Linked DNA regions of Arabidopsis thaliana. The protein of the gene in region 3 interacts with the protein of the main gene of each other region in a biochemical or structural test. Each region holds a gene or a part of one and is shown on either strand. Other genes may lie near its edges. The genes, in order: ZAT6, EXT-like, MPK6 and NIA2.

What was found.
Region 1: the proteins of MPK6 (region 3) and ZAT6 form a complex in vitro, tested with the Arabidopsis thaliana proteins (one study listed by BioGRID).
Region 2: of the proteins of MPK6 (region 3) and EXT-like, one has a biochemical effect on the other in vitro, tested with the Arabidopsis thaliana proteins (one study listed by BioGRID).
Region 4: the proteins of MPK6 (region 3) and NIA2 form a complex in vitro, tested with the Arabidopsis thaliana proteins (one study listed by BioGRID).

What each region holds. Positions count from the first base shown.
Region 1 is NC_003076.8:1,215,526-1,219,092, forward strand, and holds ZAT6 (6), read right to left. Parts: upstream 1,838-3,567; 5' UTR 1,513-1,837; coding exon 796-1,512; 3' UTR 533-795; downstream 1-532. UniProt on the Arabidopsis thaliana protein: Probable transcription factor that regulates root development and phosphate (Pi) acquisition and homeostasis. Probably acts as a repressor of primary root growth and regulates Pi homeostasis through the control of root architecture.
Region 2 is NC_003075.7:13,475,087-13,480,271, forward strand, and holds EXT-like (hydroxyproline-rich glycoprotein family protein), read right to left. Parts: upstream 3,438-5,185; 5' UTR 3,297-3,437; coding exon 3,203-3,296; intron 3,118-3,202; coding exon 3,017-3,117; intron 2,718-3,016; coding exon 2,608-2,717; intron 2,093-2,607; coding exon 2,017-2,092; intron 1,917-2,016; coding exon 1,773-1,916; intron 1,503-1,772; coding exon 762-1,502; 3' UTR 531-761; downstream 1-530. Other genes in the region: ATS1 (peroxygenase 1), read right to left, coding at 75-192; MAP65-2 (microtubule-associated protein 65-2), read right to left, coding at 3,748-4,041, 4,119-4,267, 4,356-4,443, 4,537-4,848, 4,926-5,081. UniProt on the Arabidopsis thaliana protein: Involved in the endosomal multivesicular bodies (MVB) pathway.
Region 3 is NC_003071.7:18,136,337-18,141,491, reverse strand, and holds MPK6 (MAP kinase 6), read right to left. Parts: upstream 3,247-5,155; 5' UTR 3,016-3,246; coding exon 2,783-3,015; exon of another isoform or gene 2,562-2,782; coding exon 2,432-2,561; intron 1,983-2,431; coding exon 1,845-1,982; intron 1,754-1,844; coding exon 1,421-1,753; intron 1,341-1,420; coding exon 1,160-1,340; intron 972-1,159; coding exon 799-971; 3' UTR 504-798; downstream 1-503. Other genes in the region: AT2G43795 (corepressor), read left to right, coding at 1-52, 150-357; AT2G43780 (cytochrome oxidase assembly protein), read left to right, coding at 4,441-4,500, 4,827-5,048. UniProt on the Arabidopsis thaliana protein: Mitogen-activated protein kinase (MAPK) which regulates abscisic acid (ABA) responses in a MAPKKK20-MKK5-MPK6 cascade involved in root growth (e.g. root cell division and elongation) and stomatal response.
Region 4 is NC_003070.9:14,156,529-14,162,485, reverse strand, and holds NIA2 (nitrate reductase 2), read right to left. Parts: upstream 4,035-5,957; 5' UTR 3,870-4,034; coding exon 2,825-3,869; intron 2,639-2,824; coding exon 2,498-2,638; intron 2,402-2,497; coding exon 834-2,401; 3' UTR 548-833; downstream 1-547. UniProt on the Arabidopsis thaliana protein: Nitrate reductase is a key enzyme involved in the first step of nitrate assimilation in plants, fungi and bacteria.

The DNA.
Region 1 (3,567 bases), on a different chromosome or scaffold from region 3:
CTACTTAGGTGAATAAATTTCTCTAGTAATATACAATAATTAAGTAGAAGAAGAAAAACTCCATCTCAAGTATAAATATTATCTTTGTTTTTCTTATAGTTATCGCTCTGTGTGTCGATCAAACTATGTTAGCAGGTTGTGGCCGAAAAGCTTTGTATATTTTAAGAACTCATTTAGGTCATACAATGATGTTCCCAAAATGGTACATATCTGATAAAAAGGATCTTGGTCTTTACTCTTTACTAATGCGTCGTTCAATCTCATTAGATCATTTTAAATTTGGGGTACACCTAATTTTTATAGTCATATAATCACATGGAGTTAACTTTACACTTTATAAAGAAATTATGGCATATAAAAAGAAAAGCTCTCTTTTTGTTCTTAGATTCAGTACATTTATATTTATGTGATGTAAGATGATGGGAGATCAACTTGTTGGGTGTTGCTGGTCACGACGAGCCTATGTGGAAGTATGGTTGGATATATGATGGGCTCAAAACTTGTAAGTTAGGTCATACCGGCCTACCAAACTAAGTAGGCTAGTCCAACGGATTAACAAACTGGCCCGTAAATTAGTCACTTTCGATATGCTCTCTTATTATGTATGATGTATCCAAGCAAATTTTGATACGTGTGAAACAATAAAAAGTTATATCTTTTTCAGAAACATCAATTATACAACAAAGAATCATAATTTTTCAGTGAAGAAGAACATCAATCAAAATCGATATTTGTATATACAGTAAAACAATTTCCTATAAAATGAATTCTGTAAAGTTTTTCCTAGGTTTATGTTTAGGGTTTCTCCGGGAAGTCAAACCGGAGTTTCTTCGCCGGCATAGGACTCATCACCTCTTCGTCTCCGTTGACCATCGAGAATTCCGGTATCGGCGGTATGTTGAGGTCAAACCCACGGTGGCCACTGCTGACGTGGCTTGTAGACCCCACATCTTCAGAATTCGACACGCTACTACTCACACCGCCTCCGTTCTTTCCTTCGTAGTGGCACCGTTTGTGGCCGCCGAGAGCTTGACCGGTGGCGAACGATTTATGACAGATAGAGCAAACGTGCGACTTCACACTTCCTCCCCCGCCACCGGATATACCAGACGTGGTTATCGCCGACGATGTCGACAGCTCATCTCCTCCGGCAGATTGAGTAAGCGAAAAGCTTTTCCGGTGACTTGCCTTGTGTCCACCAAGAGCCTGGTAAGACGAAAACGCCTTGTCACAGACGCTACACTTGTAGATCGGAGTAGGAAGAGGAGGAAGCAGAGGAGGTGAAGACGAAGAAGAAGGCAGGTCAAGGTCACGGTTTCTATCTCCGTCGCGAGCAAGAAGCATGAGACATAAAGCGATATATTCATCCTCCGTGAGACTCTGACGGTCGAATTCAGATCTTGATCGCTTAGATCGTTTGCCTTTGCTTCCATGAAACCCTAGTGCTGAATCTTGAAACAGAGTCGGCATCGGAGAAGATAATCTTGGAGAAGTAAGAGTTTCAAGTGCCATTATCTTGAAGACTAGCTACTAAGTTCTAAATTGAGAAGAAAGATAATTGTAAATGAAAAGATTTGATTTGAAGAAACAAGAAATGAAAGTGTGTGTGTTATATATAGTAAAGTCAGAGGAGTCTGAAGAGGAAGGAAGTTGCGTGTCGAGAGATGAGAAAGAGTTGAAGAAGAGTGAAGAAGTCGATAATCACTTTAATTTGATATATTTATTTTAATTATATATAATGTTGTGTGGACTAGAGATGAAAAGTGAAAGTATCTAAGTTTGGTTTGGGCACATTTGGTTTGACTTGGTACACGTGTTTGTGGAAGTCGGCTAAGAAGACTTGTTCTCATTTCTTTCTAGTAAGTAAGTAATGCCGCCTTCTTCAATTCTTATCACTTAAGAATATTCTAGAGAGCTCTCACTTAGGTGTTTTGCTGACCAACCAACCAACCAACCAACCAAGTGGAGATACAAAAGGCCAAATTAAGTCGGCTACTTAACCAGTTTTACTGTCTTTTCATAACTTATCGAATTAATACCTACTATTAATGTCTAAACCCATCAATATCAACGTAACCTTTTTAATTTTAATCTCGAGGCCCACTTGAGAGATGAATATGTAACCGCTTAAAAGGTGAGGTTTCGAACTTGGGTGAAAGGAATGACCTAGTGAACTAGTGCCACTATAGTGCCCCCCTTCTAATGTAACCTTTATCTATGTTTCTTCTTTAGGTTTGGCAAACTATATCATGTTGACAAATTTGTATTGGGCATCAGTGATTAAATCTATGATATTTTTAAAATTCATCTATTAATAAAGCATCCAACTAAAAACGAAGAAAAGAATGTTAGAATTAAAAGATATAATGATATAACAAAGGGAATGTTTCGCCAAAGTACGAAAAGAAAGGTTACTATAAACCTAGGAATAGACGAAATTTTTTTAACCATTTTATTAAGTTTATGGTTGAAATATTTATTAACAATTCCTCCACAAAAATTGCAAGTAGAACACTCGAGCCACTTCTAATTTTAACCACTCAAGCCATTTCTACATGATGACCACTCGAGCCATTCCTAATTTTAACGCATAACCTCAAAAAATAAAGAGAAGACAGAATTTAAAGCACAACCTCAAAAAACATATACTGATCAAATTTGTATATATAAATACATCAAAATCGCAATCTTTATAAATAAATAAATAAACAAAAAAATAAAAACAATCTAATTAACATCCCCAGAAAAACAAAATGAAACGTCTCACAATTGTTCTCATTGTTTTAGTGTTTTACATTGGAGATACGCATGGGAGAAACGTATTAATGATAGTAAACAGGTTACCAAAAAACGCAACCCTGAAGCTCCATTGTTATTCAGGGGACGACGATTTTAAGACCATGTACTTGCGTCACAATGATCCACCACAAACTTGGCGTTTCAAAGATGCTTTCTTCCATGAGACACAATTTATATGCAATCTACACCAGGGTTACCATTGGGCGCATCACCGTTCGTTTATAGCTTACAAGTCAAGTATGAACACCTCTCAGAAAAATAATGCAAATGCTACATGGTTCGCCGGTGAAAAAGGAATCTACTTGTCCTTTAACCAGAGGACTCCTGAATTTATGTACATCTGGATGTAAACCAATCATAACCAGTTGCTCTTAATTTTATGTTATAATTAGTATTCTTGGTTTGATGTCAATGTATAGTACTATATATCTAGGATAAATTAATAACACAGAATGTAATATATCGGAGACTCGAAAATATGTCATTACATATGAATGTTGGCTATATATACGTCATATTTTAATTAGGTCGTCGTAGTTTCGAACGGAAAAATTCATCACCATCTCCCTCCTCTTTCTCTCCAACATGAAACTTCTATCGTTTCCTCTTTTTACTTATGTTTGTTCCTTTTTCTTGATGGCTACTTATTTTTTCAAATATTATTTTCTAAGATATTTTATGAGAAAACAAAATATGTTCTAAATCATGGATTATTAATTAGAATATATATCTTTTTGTGATATTAGTAACTATTATATGTTTATGTCA
Region 2 (5,185 bases), on a different chromosome or scaffold from region 3:
AATATTTTTTGGCATGCAATATATTGAAATCAATTAGGGATAAAAAAATGCAAGTAGCGAGAGAAAGGTTTTACAAGGTTTAGGAAGTCTATCATCCAAGTCAACACGAGCACGGCGATGGTAAGTGACCGGCGCATAGGGAGCCACCGTAGCCATTGCGTCTCTCTCCATCATCTCCGTCTTTGACCCCATCTCTCTCTCACTTTGTCTCTAGACTGAGTGCAAATGTATGTGTTTGTCTTAGAGTAAAGAGTATAATGAGGTAATAATAATAAGAATCGATTTGATTGATGTGCGTGGCGGACATGCACGCGCCGACGAAAGCAGCGATTGACATCTCTCTTTCCTTGTCTTTGACGCACATCTCTTCTCTCTTCCTCTGTCTTACACTTGACATGACTCTAGAGACACGTTTTCTTCCATGTTTCATCACTCTTTCTATTCTTGTCTGCTAAATTCAGTAATTCGGGCCTCTATGGGCTTTTATATAGGCCCAACCTCGAGTACTAACACCACCCGCTACATGAGTGCGTGTCCCACACTCGCTCTTTACGTGAAGACTGAAGAGGAACTCCATTGCCTATGTATGTATGAATGTACACGAAGTTGCAAGGAAAATTTTATGATAATAAGAATAATTCACACAAATTTTCTTTGTAAACGAAGTCTGAGCCTGAAAAGTTAATAAACAAACCCACAAATGTTGAGAACACACACACGCACTAACATCAACCCCAAGTGTCATAGATTAGATATAAAATTCAGTGACCGGCACCGGCCGATGGATTTGTTAGCAACTCAAGTGACTTCTTGAGATGTTCTACAGCAGTCGAGACTTCATCAAAAGCCAAAGCTCCCACAGCGAATCTAGCAGCCTTGAGTGCCTCTGCAACCTTCTCAGGCCCTGGCTGGTAGCTGCTATCGTAATGGTACTTCTGAGCTGAACTCGGTGCAGGATCTAGCACGGGAGCAATATTGATACGCCCGTTTGATGAGTAAGGTGGAGGAGGAGGAGCAGAGGAGAAGCTTGTGGAAGAAGGAGCAGGTGCAGAGTGCGGAGAAGAATAGTAAGGTTCTGGGTTTTGGTAGTGAGAAGGGTAGTGGGGAGAAGTGGATGGGAGGCTGCTCTCACTAAAGCTAGGATAAGATTGGAAATTAGGGAGAGAATTTGGAGAAGGCTCATGAGATGAGTAGTTTTGCGGTGGCGGCATGTGTTTTGGCGGGTCTTGGTGGTATGGTTGATGACTGTAAGGATGCGGGTAAGGGGAGTCTGATGGTCCTGTGGGAGGGGGAAGATGATCGTTGGAAGGGTAAGAAGACGGTGGTGGAGGTGGGACATCTGCGGGATAATCGTTGGTCGGATTGTCATAAAACCTGGGAGGTAGAGGGTGTTGTGGCACTTCAGGGAATTGATGGTGGCTGGAGTCATCATTCGAGTCATGGGGTGGATCAAGCTCTGTTCTATGATGACTTGTTGTGTTGGTATCACTTGCACTGTGATCCTGTAGATAATTAACATGCACAAACAATGAATCGATTAAGTTGATGCAGACGTTTTATCATAGTGTTTTGACAATTGAGAAAACAAAAACCTAAAAGTACACAGGTGGGTGTGAATGTGTGTGTCTCTAGCTAGATGATTTTGATCAGCGCTATGCGAATTCTATAAACATTTACGCTCCTAAACACTTTTCGATATTATTGGACAGAATACACGCTAAGCCAATATCAAGATATTTCCAATCCATAAATATTCAAGAAGAGAAACTTACATAGGAGCCACTAGGACCGCTTGATGGGATGGATAAATCAGTATCATCATCCACAGGATCACCTGGAGTGGGCTTCCTTCCTTCTTTAATGGCTTTCCTTATGTCAGCAGCCTTCCAAGCAGCATACTTGTGTTTCTGCTCTATCTGTTAATGGGAGCCATTACATATATACACATATCAATCTCCCAACACAGCTGCCTCTTAAGGTGATGTTAAGTGAATAAAAAAAGAAGTAGGAACTTACATCAGGAGGTACGGGACCAAACTGGCTCAGAATTTCAAAGAAGATGCTCGCAGCATAAAAAGTTTTGGCAGTGCCCCTGTCACAAGCACAACAAAGTTAATTTGGATAATCCATCGCAACTCGGAAGCCTATGTAATTGAGTCAAATGAATGCAGGTGTTAGCACTTATAAAATAAGGATACAGACAGTAATCGAACTAATATCAGTATCCAACCATGCATAGAAACACATCAATGCTGGAGATACAGGTATTTCGCAAAAGCAGAACAGGTAGAAGACAACAGGTCGAGATAAGCCTTGGATGCATCCAACTAATTACTTAACCCGCTATCTTAAACGATGGTAGAGGAAGGTATCACCTAAAAACATGTCTGCCGGACATGCATACTCATTGTAAATGTATGTGTACTTGCACGCTATTTCCAGTATTGGCAAACACAATAATACTAGACAGACAATGAATCTATAGAATCATGCTAATTCGACTCATTGAGCTAGTGTTGACGGTGACCCTAAAATTATTAGAAACTTGAGGGCAAAAAAAATGCCATTCTATATATAATCAAACATAAGAGCAAAAAAAATTCTTACAAGTCTGCTCTTCCTGCACGATCCTGCTTGTCTGCCTTAGCAAAGACACTAAGTGCAAACCCCTCCACATGCATATTGTCATCTGGGGACAGAGTCAATGATTTTTTATCCTGGAGTTACACAAAAAAGAAATCGCCATAAGAAACTGGAACTAATCAAGAAATTGCCTCATGAACTCTGTCAATCACATGAACAAACCTAAGCTAAATTTAGATATAAGCCTCCTTACCAAACACAAACATAAATAAAAAAACTCCAGCTTTGTAACAAGTAACAACATATAATAATCAAAGTCAAACACATCATGAGAATTACTAAGAACCGGTCCTTTCAAATCTAAACAAGTAAAAAATCAAACAAGCTGAAATAAATCAGAAAAACTCACAATTTAAAACTTCAAAGGTAATACCTTTTCGAGTTGATTAATGAGAGACATGAGAATCGAATTGGTGGTCTTAGTTCTCTCGCTCTGCGGAATCTTCAATCCTCGTTCCATTGCATATAGCCGACCTAATCAATCACAAAATTCCATGAATACACACAATCGCAGGAGGCGATCATCTAGGTTAGATATAGATAAGAAAACGAAACTCACAGTAATAAGCAACAAGTGGTTCATGCTTCTGCAGCTCATCGGCACGTTGCAGGTAAGGCAGAAGAGCCCTGGCTGGTTCGTTTGGGTTCGACATAGATTCTCTCTTCTCTCGAGCTCCGTAGCTTTTTCTCCGATTGATTTGTTAAGACAAAACAGCTCAAGAAATTTTCCTGTATTTAACGCGCTTCTGATTGCAAACTAGAAACGACGTCGCAGAAAGGACCTCTAAAATCCCAAACCTTCTTGGAAACTTTTTAAACTTTTAAATCATGCCCAAAAGATCTTTCAGTATATTACAATTTTGCCCAAATATTATTTCGTAATTCCAATTAGAACCTTGACTTTCATTCACTAAACCGGTCACTTCACATTAGTCATGCTAACAAGTACCAAACAAATTTGAGTGAATGAATACAGAAACAGAAACATCTAAGTAACATTCTACTCTCATTGTCTTTGTTTCTAAGTGTTTGTTTCTTAAACAGCACTATTAGCAACTAACAAAAGTGTAAGTAAGCATTATAACTCTCTTTCTTTTGATATTGTCACGGTGAAGCCATCACTGGGTCAGCACGAGAGACTGGAGATGCAGCATCATCTTTTGTGTTGGCTACAATGTTCGAAGGTGAAGCTATCTTGTTCAGACTGTCTCTCTTGGACTTGCTTCCGTTCTGGTTTGAGTTCATAGACAAACGCCTCATAGGAGTTTCGTTGAGCCCTCCTCCATTGACTCGTGTTCCCACCGGTTTCTTGGCACTAACGGGTCTTGCAGGGCTTGGTTTAGACCCAAAGGCGGATTCTTGATCTGTGTGTGGCTGTTCTTGCTGCTTCTTCTGTTCCTGTTAATGAAAAGGCAAGATTATTTTAAAAGAAGTTAGTTTCAACAATCGGTTTAACACAGGATGAAACAACTTACTTTCAGCCTCCGCTTCTCATCTTCTCGTTCTTGCCTAAGCATAGTGTATTCATCTAGCATGGCGAGTAAAGGAACTCCATCGTACTCAAAGGACATACTGTTCTCCTCTTCCCATGCCCGGGTTTTAGCAATCAACGTGTCAACCATAGCTTGCACAAACAAAGTATGATATATTCTTCAGTCTCAGTTTAATTCTATGTGTAGTAATAACTAAGAGAGACTTTTGGAAGTTCTTACCAGTAATCTTGCTGACCAGAATCCGAGCTTTCTCAGCTCTCTTGAGATTCAAATGCGCACCTCGGCTTGCACTATACCTGTTCTGATCCTGTTTTTCCAGAACAAAAACCCAAAAGAATCATCAATTGAACTCTATGCTTAATAAGTAATGTGTTTATTAACATAGCCAATGTTAGCATACTCGATTGTAATCTTCGAGCCAGCTCTCTTCCTCACAAGCTGACATCCATTTCTCTACACGGTCTAAAATTTCTTTTCTACTAAAGGCTTCCTCCTTGGCCTTTGCGATCTGGCTATCCATGTCAGCCAGTAACTCAGTAGGTTCAGTATTCCCAGCATCAATCAACGACATGATCCTCTCACGAACAACCTCTGGTTTTATTTCTATGTGAGCACGAGCATATATCTCCTCAAGCTCTGATTGCTTTTTGAATGCAATTTCCTTCATTCTGCTAGATTTCAGTTGATCAAGCCTATCCACTTCCACCTCAGCCTTCAAGAGTTCACAGAAGATTTTTAAAAGCAGTACTTATCATACACATTGATTGATACATTACAAATTTACGATACCTGTTCGATAAGATCAAGTGCGAGAGCACCAGAGGCAGTCACTTCATGAACTGAAGCTGAAATGTTAGAGGTAACATGGTCAAAAAGCTCCCTTTCCTCATCAGAAGTATCCATCAGATTCCATAGATCAGTTAGCTGAGTAGCTAGTTCTTGAAGCTGCATAAAACCAAGATACATTAATGAAATCCACAAACAAGAATGGTGCAGAGAAAAGTTACAAACTTTCAGCGCAATTAATCAGAAAGGATTTCAACATATGT
Region 3 (5,155 bases):
CACAGATAGAAAGTGCAGAGATTCCAAGAGGAAGAAAAGCAAAAAGAGAAAGGTGCTTACATAACAACTGCATCGAGTTTAGTTTGAACATCTTCTATAATTCTGTTGGCTTGAAGCTTTTAGCTTACATTGTGTTTATTGATTTGCAGCATTCGAAAAGGCGATCATCAGACTCAAGCTCATCTTCTGAATCTTCAAGTAGTGACAAAGACGAATCTAGGAAGTCAAGGTCAAGTTCTAAGAGGCCAAAGAGGGAGAGGAAACACAAGTCTAGAGGCAGACACTCAAAACCAAAGTAAAGATGAGGCTGATGGTCCTGCACCACAATCAAAATTCTTTGGCAGTCTTAAGAGTTGACACAGTGCAAGACTTGAGATTGTGTTCATCAAATGCTCAATTTTCACCCCGAGGACATGATTTGTACTATCCTCATCTCCCTGCAATATTTCTCTCCCTGCTGTTTTATAAAACAAGAAAGCTGACAGTAATGGCAAGTATTTTGTAGAGGAATTGAAGGTGGGCTATCATAACATAACTATTTCTGAGACAATTTAAGTCTTAAATAACTGCAACAACAAAATGAGGGCAAATTACAAATACGAATAGGAAAAAAAAAAACAGAGAGAACAAATTATCCAAAAGACTGAAATATAAAGTTTGAGACCCATCCCCTTCAACATCTCTCACAAGTATACACAAAAGACAAACAATGATCTTTCCTCCTTTTAAGAATGTTGTCCAAACCAAATAACGCCAAACCCTTATCTCATCTTCATCTCCCAAATGCTGTTCTTCAAACTATTGCTGATATTCTGGATTGAAAGCAAGCGCCTCGCGGTAGATTAGTTCCTTCATCTGCTCCTCTGAGAGTGCATGGTTTTCAAAATCAAAGTTGAAAGGTATTGTACACTCTGGCTCATCGCTTATGTCGTGCAACGAGTTCAGGTATGGATGGGCCAATGCGTCTAAAACTGAATCAAGAATCGAGAATCAAGAATCAATAAGAGGTGATGACTACTAACTAACTCTTAAATAACCAAGAACTCATTATTATTATTCCTTCACTAGATTGAATCTTTTTTCGGGATTTTGGAATGATCCGTACAAGCAATTCCAGTTATTTTGCAAGTTAAAAATGGTATAGAGGTTAGGGACTAACCTGTGATTCTCCGTCTAGGATCAAATGTTAACATCTTCTCGATAAGGTCTATAGCTAAAGGATGCACTGTCGGGAACTTATCAGTGATGGATTGGCGAGGATAAGGTGGAAGCTGTCTTATGTATCGCTTTGCGTTTTCGTTCAAGAACTCGAGCTCTTCTTCTGATGGAGTTCCTATGAGCTGCAAAAAGAAAATGGTCTCGGTCTGTTTCTTTAGTGCTTCAAAGCTTATTTTTGGGTCAAAGAAGGGTTACTACTTACCTCCATGAGCAAGCGAAGCTGATGGACATGATCTCGTCCAGGGAAGAGTGGCTTACGGTCCATTAACTCCATGAAAATACAGCCTACAGACCAAACATCGATAGCTGCAGTATAATCAGAAGAGTTTAAGAGAAGCTCTGGTGCACGGTACCATCTCGTGACAACATATTCAGTCATGAAATCACTCTCAGAAGTGACTCGAGCTAGCCCAAAATCGCAGATTTTTAGGTCGCAGTTTGCGTTCAGGAGGAGATTACTTGGTTTCAAATCCCTGTGAAGCACATTTGCAGAGTGAATGTATTTCAATCCACGGAGGATCTGGTAAAGAAAATACTGCACAAAGAGACAAGTGAAATGGAGTTCAATTAGTCCCCGTTTTCAAGTCGAGTTATATAGGTCAACAAACAATCTCAAAACTCAAAACCTGGCAATGTTCTTCGGATAATGCTTGATTTGACCGAATGATTTGATGGAGATCAGTGTCCATTAACTCATACGCGATGTAAACATCGTTGAAAGCGTTTCTTAATGGTGGCGGGATAATATCTCTGATTGCAACAATCTGATTTAACAGAAAGATGGTAAGTGTTTTATCAATCGGAAATGTTTTACACGTTGCAAACGCCAACATAGATAAACGGTTACATTTTACGATTTGATTTCTAGAATTTAAAATCTTGACGCAGATGGAAAAGATCATACTACTGAATAAGCGCGAAACAATCCGTATCAAACCGAAAAAAATACAAGCACACTGTGTCAACATTCATGTATATTCCCTTAAATCTAAATGCAATAAGCAACCACCAGATACAACACATTCATACACAGAACCTAATCAGCCCATACAATATCAATCAAATATATACATCATCTATTTACCTAAACAATTTTGCATCAGCTAGTAGTTACCATGTTTCGAGTGTATTTAAATCTACAATCCTATTATGTTCTACATAAGACTCTATAAACAGATGACTCTTAGTTAACAAAGAAAGAGCAAAAACTGACATTTTCATGATCCATGTGACGAAGCAGCTTGATCTCACGGAGAGTCCTCTTAGCATCAATCTTATTGTCAAAAGCGTTAGCAATTTTCTTAATCGCAACGCTCTCGTTAGTTTCAGAATTCATAGCCGAACTGCAAAATCAAAATCAAATAAAACCACAAAAGGATAAAGCTTTCATTGAAACAAAAATAAATCCCAATCATAATTAGAGCTCAAAAACGATACAAAGGAATCAATTTTACAAATTGCGGATCAAAAGTAACCAACTTTACCAAAACCCAATCAACAAAAATCATTTTTTATTTCAATTAGAAGCAAAAGCCAAAAATCAAAAGAATCGGAGAAAAATTACCAAACGATGCCATAAGCACCCTTGCCAATAGGCATGATCGGAGGCTTATACTTAGCGGTGACCTCGAAGATGTTTCCAAATATGTTATACTGAATAAACCTACCACCATGGCTAAGAGTCGCCGGAATATTCTCAATCCCAGGCATCTGAGGCGATGGAGCCGCCGCGGGAAAACCTCCAGGAGCTTCTGTCATCTCTGTATCAGCCGCCGGTTGACCTGAACCACCGTCCATGACCGGTAAAGATGAAAGCTTTTGAGGTTGGTGGTGGTGGTGGATCGAGAAGAGGGAAATGGAAAATCTTTTTTTTTTTTTTTTTTTGTAATTTTGGGGTGAGTGAATTATGAATGAAATTGGAGAAATTGATATTCGTTGGTTTTGGGGTCAAAACAGATCTGAGAGACAAGAAGTGAAAGTCATGTGCGTACGGATCTATTAATTTTTTTATTTTTTTTTGGGTCTTCACTTGACCCGTGTGTGTAAGCAAGCAAGCAAGCCACTGTTCAAAGTTTGATCCTTTATTCTCATGTTTAACACTGTTATGGTTACAAACGGCATCGTTTTACATTGACTTATCACCATTTTTTTTTTTGTTCCATTGACTTCCTTCCTTAATCGTTATCATTAACAAGTAACAACAGCATTTTTTTGAATGTAAATGTTGGGTGAAAATGAATCATAGATAAATGTAGTTATTATCATTGATATTATGTTTTTGGGTTGTACTTTAATTTTGAGATTATTTTTGTAACATGAAAAATCGCTAAATTTTATGTAGATTGAAAAACACAAAAACTTATAAACCGCCAAAAGTTATTAGATAGTATCTAAATTAACTATTTAAGTATTTAAAGTTCTCTATCAAGAATTTCGATGAACTTGATAGTCGTATAGTGTGAATGAGGCCACAACATGAAACATGCTTGGTTGAGGGTTATTTGGATTTTTAAAAAGTATGGTGGTTCAATTTGATAATATTCCAAAATTACAAGGATCATCTCAATATTTTTTACATAATGAAGCAATAAATCTCTTCTCTTGTGTTATACAGTTGGGTTCGAACTCGAGACGGCTTGCTTTCTGCCTCTATCCCTCTTTCACACGAGAGCTCTTACTGGGTTTAGGGTTTTCGATAGATTGGTAAGTGGCCACGACACTAAGCGTCACCGAACCAGTTGTCAACTAAATAGGGAAACTTTAGGCTTCTGTCGCATTTAGGCACGATTCTCTGTAGAAGAAAAAAATATCAGCTTTGTTGTATCTTTCGGATTTTCGAGTGATCATCAAACCTTCATCACCAGGTTCCTTTCGATTCCATTTTAATTTTGTGGACTTTGGAGTAATTTGCTTAAAGAACCAATTTTTGATTGATATTTTCTGCTCTCCTTTCATTTTGACATTTTGATCTGGTTTTGAGAACTTTGGTTGAGTAACAGTAGCCTGCGTTTAAAAGATGTTAGCTTTGGATGTATAGATGTAGAGTTAGGTTTCTAATTGCCTTTATTTTTGCTTTGGTTGATGATTTATGGTTGATTGACTCGTTAAAGGGAAGTGCGCTGATTTTGTGGACAATTATGTTAGACTGATGGGCATGAATGTGACCAATTGATTTTCTCTCCGTTTCCATTATGATGCAGAAGAAAGTTCTATTTTGCTGAAATGTTTTGCAACTTTCAGTTGTTCATTCATACCATGATTGTACTCATCTTTGATCTCGTTGTGAGTACTATCACTTACTCTTGGCGTAGTAGTTCTTAGGATGAGGTATAAGTATAACAATTCGAAAATTCGTCGTATTCAATCTGTGTAATCTGTTTTTCACTATATGAACAATATGTCAATGTCCTGCGATGCCTCAGGGCTTCTGGAGTCACTTCTGCAATGTTAAAAAGAGTAATCAAAAGTTGTTATATCATGCTTCAGAGTTCTCTCTTGTTATTCCTCATCTTAGTATTTATGAAACTGTGATATTGAAGATATAACATAATCTAATACTTCTGATACTTGGGTCTCTTCTGTAACATGTGACACATTGGATCTTGCAGGTTAAAGACTTTGAAGTAATGGCGGGATTTCCAGGTTTTAGTTACCTAGGCCCAAAAGGCAAGAACACGGTTGTAGCTGGTGGCTTGACAGCTTTTGTTTTTGGGGTATACTTCTACACAATGAGGGCGGTTGGTGGCACAGACGAGCTTCAAGTGGCTATAGACAAGTTCGAAGGCCAAAAACAGGTGGACACTGACACCAAGGTTCCATCTAAGGTCTAATCCTCACTGGCTTGATATGTCCAACCAAACCCGTTATTTATCTTTGCTTTCCAAGCTTCTTTTGTCACGAAAGTGGCTCGTTTCTGACATCGAGTGGCATCTGTGTT
Region 4 (5,957 bases), on a different chromosome or scaffold from region 3:
GACATTATTTAAGTTCTTGAAGTTATGAATCGTTGATATATGATTTTATTTAGATATATATATATATATATATCGTAACATTTTCTATCGGTTTAATAGCACACTATTTTTATATAGATATGATGTTCCTTTTGGATAACTTAGAACATAACTTGTGATGCTGTATTAAAATTCTAATCCTGTAATGGAGAAGAGTTTGGATGCTAGAAACATACTTTATAAACATGTACAATTTTAATAAGAACAAATTGAATATTAACTGAAAACTCTAAAGATTCTCAAACGATTGATATATTGTTAAACTAATCACCCAAAAAGGAAGAGTCTTCTAAATTACAAGTTAATAAAACAAATGAAAAAAGTAAATTCACTCCCCCTAATCTTAAATCATATATGTGGTGAAGATTAATATAGGAACTAATGGACGAGTTTGGTTTCAACTTGCACAACAGGAAACTACTTCGCTTTGGCTTTATTCTCTTTGAAAATGATTATTGGTGTCTAATAGCTGTAGAATTTTTATTTTATTTTTTAACGACAAAGACATATGAAAAAATGAACATATTCAAATTGATATTCATAATGTGAAGTAAACGCAGAAAATTCAATGTACGATAACCTAACCACAAAAATTTCTGAAATTACTTTTTGTATATTATTGTGAAAAAAAATATCGATCGTGAATACAACGAACACATTATATTTCCAAATCCAAGACTTTAAAGAACCAACATTATATACAAACAAATCCCTCAATACTTATTTAGAATCTATCATAACACTAGGCTTTTTGACGACTTAACGTTTTGACTTTGAAATATCTTGGCTTTAGACTAGAATATCAAGAAATCCTCCTTGATGTTATATTGCATCTTCTCCAAATTCGGCTGAACCGCAAACTGAATCATCGGTGGTGGTCCGCAAGCCATGGCAAGGGCTGAGCCATCTAATCCATCAGGGATATGTTCTCGCATAATCGCCTCGGAAATAAACCCGGTACTGTATGCCCAACCTTCCTTAGCTGATTCCACTACGTACCAAACCTTTAACCGGTCCGGGTATTGCTCTGCCCAACCATCCAGTTCCTCCCTTAGGAGAATATCTTCCTCGGTCCGGTTAGCATAAATGACGTACATTTCAGTCTCATCCTCTGGATCCTTGAGAATGGCTTGGATAATTTGGTAAACCGGAGTTATTCCGGTTCCACCTGCCAACATTGCCAATTTATCAGCAAACTTTGGTTTACCGTGAACCGTGAAACTACCCTTGCCGAGATACTCAACGTGACCCAATGGTCCTTTAATCTCCAAAGTTGACCCTATAGGCAAAGAGTCTAGGTACTGAGACATGAGCCCGCCGTTAGGGAATCTTGGGTGGACACCGCCAAAGTAAATCTTGACCACGAGCTCGAAGTAGCCAACCACATCAACGGTGCTGCTTGGTGTGTAAGCTCTGAGGCAGAGCTTGTCATTGATGGTGGCGCAAAGGAAAATGTGCTTACCAACCGGTAAGCCTAGAACCATATCCTCAACCGGTAAAGCAAACCGGAATTTACGAACATCATGAGAAATGGAAGTCTTTTCGACGAGTTGAACCGGGACTTTAGCCCGGGGATTAACCAAAGCGAGGTTCCTAACCGGAGTCGCCTCTCCAATGGGAGCCAACAGCGAGAACACGGCGGATGAACCGTGAACCGAGTTGTTAGGCGAGGAAGAGTCAGAGGAATAACCAGTGGTGATGAGCTCACCGATACGGTAATCCTCAAGCATCTTCTTGGCTTTATCCGAGTGAATGGCTTCAAACTCCTCCGTACAATCCGTACCAGCATTGATCAAGATTGAATCCGAACCACCCGGGTGATCCATAAGGAATCGTGTACAATCATAGATATGTCCATGGACAATGATCCAGCAAGAGTCAGCCGAATTATGCTTCTTGACCTCGGACATCGAGTACATCTTCGCAGTTGTGTTCATAAACGGCGTCGAGACAGACTTCTTTAGACTAGGAGGCGCGTCAGCCGATTTTTCGAGGTGACGTTCCTTCGCCATCCATCCACCAGATTCATTACCAGGAAGCGTTGGATGCTCGAACACAATCCCAATCTCTCCCTTGTGTGGCTTGCACACGTTAGTCTTCACTCTAAACCAGCAGTTATTCATCATCCCCATGAGATTCCATATCATTTTCTCGGGCTGCGTGTTGAGAGTCTCGTCCCATGCACGAACAGCAATCTCTTTGGCACTAAGCAAGTCCAAAACCTCAACCTCAAGTGACCAAAAACACCAACACCAGAACTTCCCATACTTGTTTGGCTTCTCTTGATGGTCAAGTGCACATACGTTCCATGTCTCTCCACCATCTACCGTGACCTCCACACGGGTCACTTTTTTTCCACCTCCTGTTTTTTTTTGTATAAAGATTATTGTTACTATTAAATTAAATCATCCTATGAAATAACGTATTTATTAAATTAAAATGTTAAAAGGACAAGTACCGGAATATGCGTAACCCTTTAAAGTATAAGGTCTTTGGGTTGTGAAAGCGTTGATGGGAAGAATCTCCTCGTGACATGGCGTCGTAATCACGGAGTTTATGTTTAGCTCGTTGATTATGTACTCTGGCTTATACCACCAACCTAAAACAAAACCATTGAATTTGAATTTATGTAAGTCACAGAAGCTGACATCATCCACCAACATTAGTTTTTCATTTTTTAATATGATTTCTGTTTTTGTTTTTCTCCTATAGGTTCGGAGACTTTTTAAACATATCAATTAGTTCATCTTAATGAGATTTATTGAAGCAAAAAGATTTTATGTACCTTCTTCGTCGGCGAGTTCGGCGTCTACCAAAGAAGGTAAAACTCTGTTGTCCTTGAAATGGTAGAAATTGTCGGATTCTTTAGTTGTGACAATGATTCGTTTCAACCATTTAACCATCCGGCCACCAATGAAACCGGGGATGATGATCCGAACCGGAAAACCGTGGTCTGGTGTTAGATACTCTCCGTTTTGCATATAAGCCAAAATGATGTCTCTTGATGGATCCATGGCATATTCCTTCTTGATGCTCGTTCCGTATTTGGAACCAGCAGTTCCGGCACCGCCCGGAAGATCCTCCGACCCTTCGAAGCAGACGTTGAGAGCGCCGCCTTTTCGGCTAAAGATCCCGCAGCGACGCAGTACGTCGCAGAGAGGGACACCACGCCACACGGAGGTGGAAACTCCGGCGGATCCCCAGTTGAATCCCTTTGACTTCTTCACCATGTTCTGTTCCTTACGGCGGTTCCCCGCGCAGACTAGCGTCGCGGCGAACTCGCGGTAAGCAAACTCGGAGACGAGCTGGTCCATGGTGAATTTCATGGGCCGTTTGACGAATCCGGTCACCTCGACCGTCCATTCGGCCCATTGGGCTTTAGGGACGTGGCCGTGGTTACGAACGTAGTGCAACGGGACAGGGGTGATAAACCCGTGGTGCATTAAACGGTTAAGAGGCGCCTCGGAGTTGAAGGGATGTTTCCCTGTGAGACGTACCATGGAAGGGTTACGCTCGATCCAGCTATCAGCCGTGTATTCGTCCCTCGGGTCCAAAACGGACGGTTCAAGCTCGGCGTTGGATTTTCTTATCATCTCCTTGTAGTACACGGCGTTGCTGTTGTGTGTCTCGTTCTCGTCTTCGCTCGACACGTCTTCGTCATCGTCATGAACCTTGGCTGGTTTCAAGAACACGGTTTGGTTGGTGGTTTGGTTCTGGTGCGCCTTAGGGGAATCGGACCGGCCTGGAACGGGAGGTTTGTAAGAACGAACCACGCCGTTCAAACCTGGCTCGAGACGAGCGTATTGGCGATTATCTACAGAGGCCGCCATGTTGGAAAGTGTATAATCGTAAATAATGTAGAAAGCAGAGCCTTTTTCTCTCTCTATCTCTCTCTTGTGAGTGAGATGAGATCTGAGGACGAAAATGCATCGTTGGTGGAGATGAAGTTATATAGGAGAGAGCCTAGTGGTATGCTTTTAGGAAGTATCGTGCCGAATCACACGTATGGGACCATTTGTGACTTTTTAATTTTTTTCTTACACACTTACTATTAATTTTTTCTTATGACTTGACTTAATTAAATAAACCATCCATTTGTTTGACAAAAATAAACGATCATAGTTATTCAATAAGCTTAAAATGATCATTTTTGTCCCTATTTGTTATAAAACAAATGTGAATTGTTGGAGTAGTTTTGTAAATACTTTTAACGTCTCGGAAACATGTATAGATTTTTTTTTGTCAACTAAGAAATGATGACAATTGAATAATATATTATTATCTATCATTGGTTATTTCCTGTAATACAATATAAAAATGTGATCAAAACATTTTCCTTTTTATTTTAGTCGAATTTGTTTTACTAAAAAATATGTTTTCTTATTCGTGACACAAAGCCGTATTTATTTTTAATGGAAAAATAACGATAAAAGATGACAAAATAATTAAGAGCAATAAAATTAGTAATACAAAAATCGTGGTGATAATATTTTCATACTATTAATTTTAATAGTTTTTGTGATCGGTAACTATTAAAACCGTATATATATATATATATATATATATATATATATATATATATATATATATTTTGTAAACCGTATATTTTTTACCAGTAAATTAAAGAATTATCAATGTGTTAACATAGGAAGAACGTTCCTTTTATTATTGAGATTTGATAATCCTTTTACCCCTGGTTCTAGTTTAGAAGTTTATCAATGTTCTTATATCCTTCAGTTAAACATAGGAACAACGTTCCTTTTATTCTTGAGATTTGATAAATCAATTAAACATATTATCAGAAAAAATCTAATAATCATACAATATTTATTTTCTTATTAAACGTTATTTTCAGTAATATTTTCTTATTAAACTGTTTTTTAGTAATATTTTTTTTTGATAAAATTAACAGATGTGATTTTCAGCAATATTGATGAGATATTAATTATTGAGTAATCTAATTTTTTGTATACATTATTATAACCTAAAATAGTTCCTTGAATCATCTAAAAGTTTAAAATACCTATGTATGAATGTTGGAAAATGAAAAAAAAAAAAAAACTGAATGATGGAAAATGATCACGTTCATCTTTTTCCTTAAAATAACTACAAAATTATTTCTCTTTTTGATCAAGATGCAACATTACAGCCACCTATATATTAGTATTACTGTTATTATTGTTTTTCTTCGGAAAGAATGGCGGTGACTAATCAAAACCGACGGAGCCACGGGTTCAGCAGATTCAGTGGGTAAATCTTTCTTTATTTAAGACTTTTTTTTGTTGAAAATTTCATTGAGTAAATATTGAATATTGATTTTCTTGTGAACTTCTAATTTTGGGTAACCAATATACATCTTTATTTTTTTTATATATATATATATATATATACTTCTTCTGTTATAATATATAAGATATTTCACTAAAAAGACAAAGTTTAAGATATTAATTAATATTTTTACATTAAAAAACATATTTTGATATTTAATTAAAGAGAGTTTGCTAATGAATTTTTTACTGCAGAATAAAAATTTATCTTTTGAGATGTGAGATGAAGATTAAATCTGTGAAAGAAAAAAAAGTAAAAAAGACAGTTTAAGTTTAAATCATATGGTACTATTTATATTATGTTTAAGTTTTATACTTTAAAAAGGAACATGAAAATTTAGTTGATTTCAAGTTTCCACTTTATTTTTTTTTATGCTAACCTTTCATGTTAAAGTGTCAAACAATGAAAACTAAATTTGTTGCGAAGACTATTACTATCCATACAACAATTTCTATTTCATAGCACAATTTCTTAAATAAGACTACTTGCATATAGCAGTTTCAATATATATGATTTTTATATACCTAACTTTACAAATAAGATAATCAATACAATATATATAGTATAGTTAATATAGGGAATTAGGGACG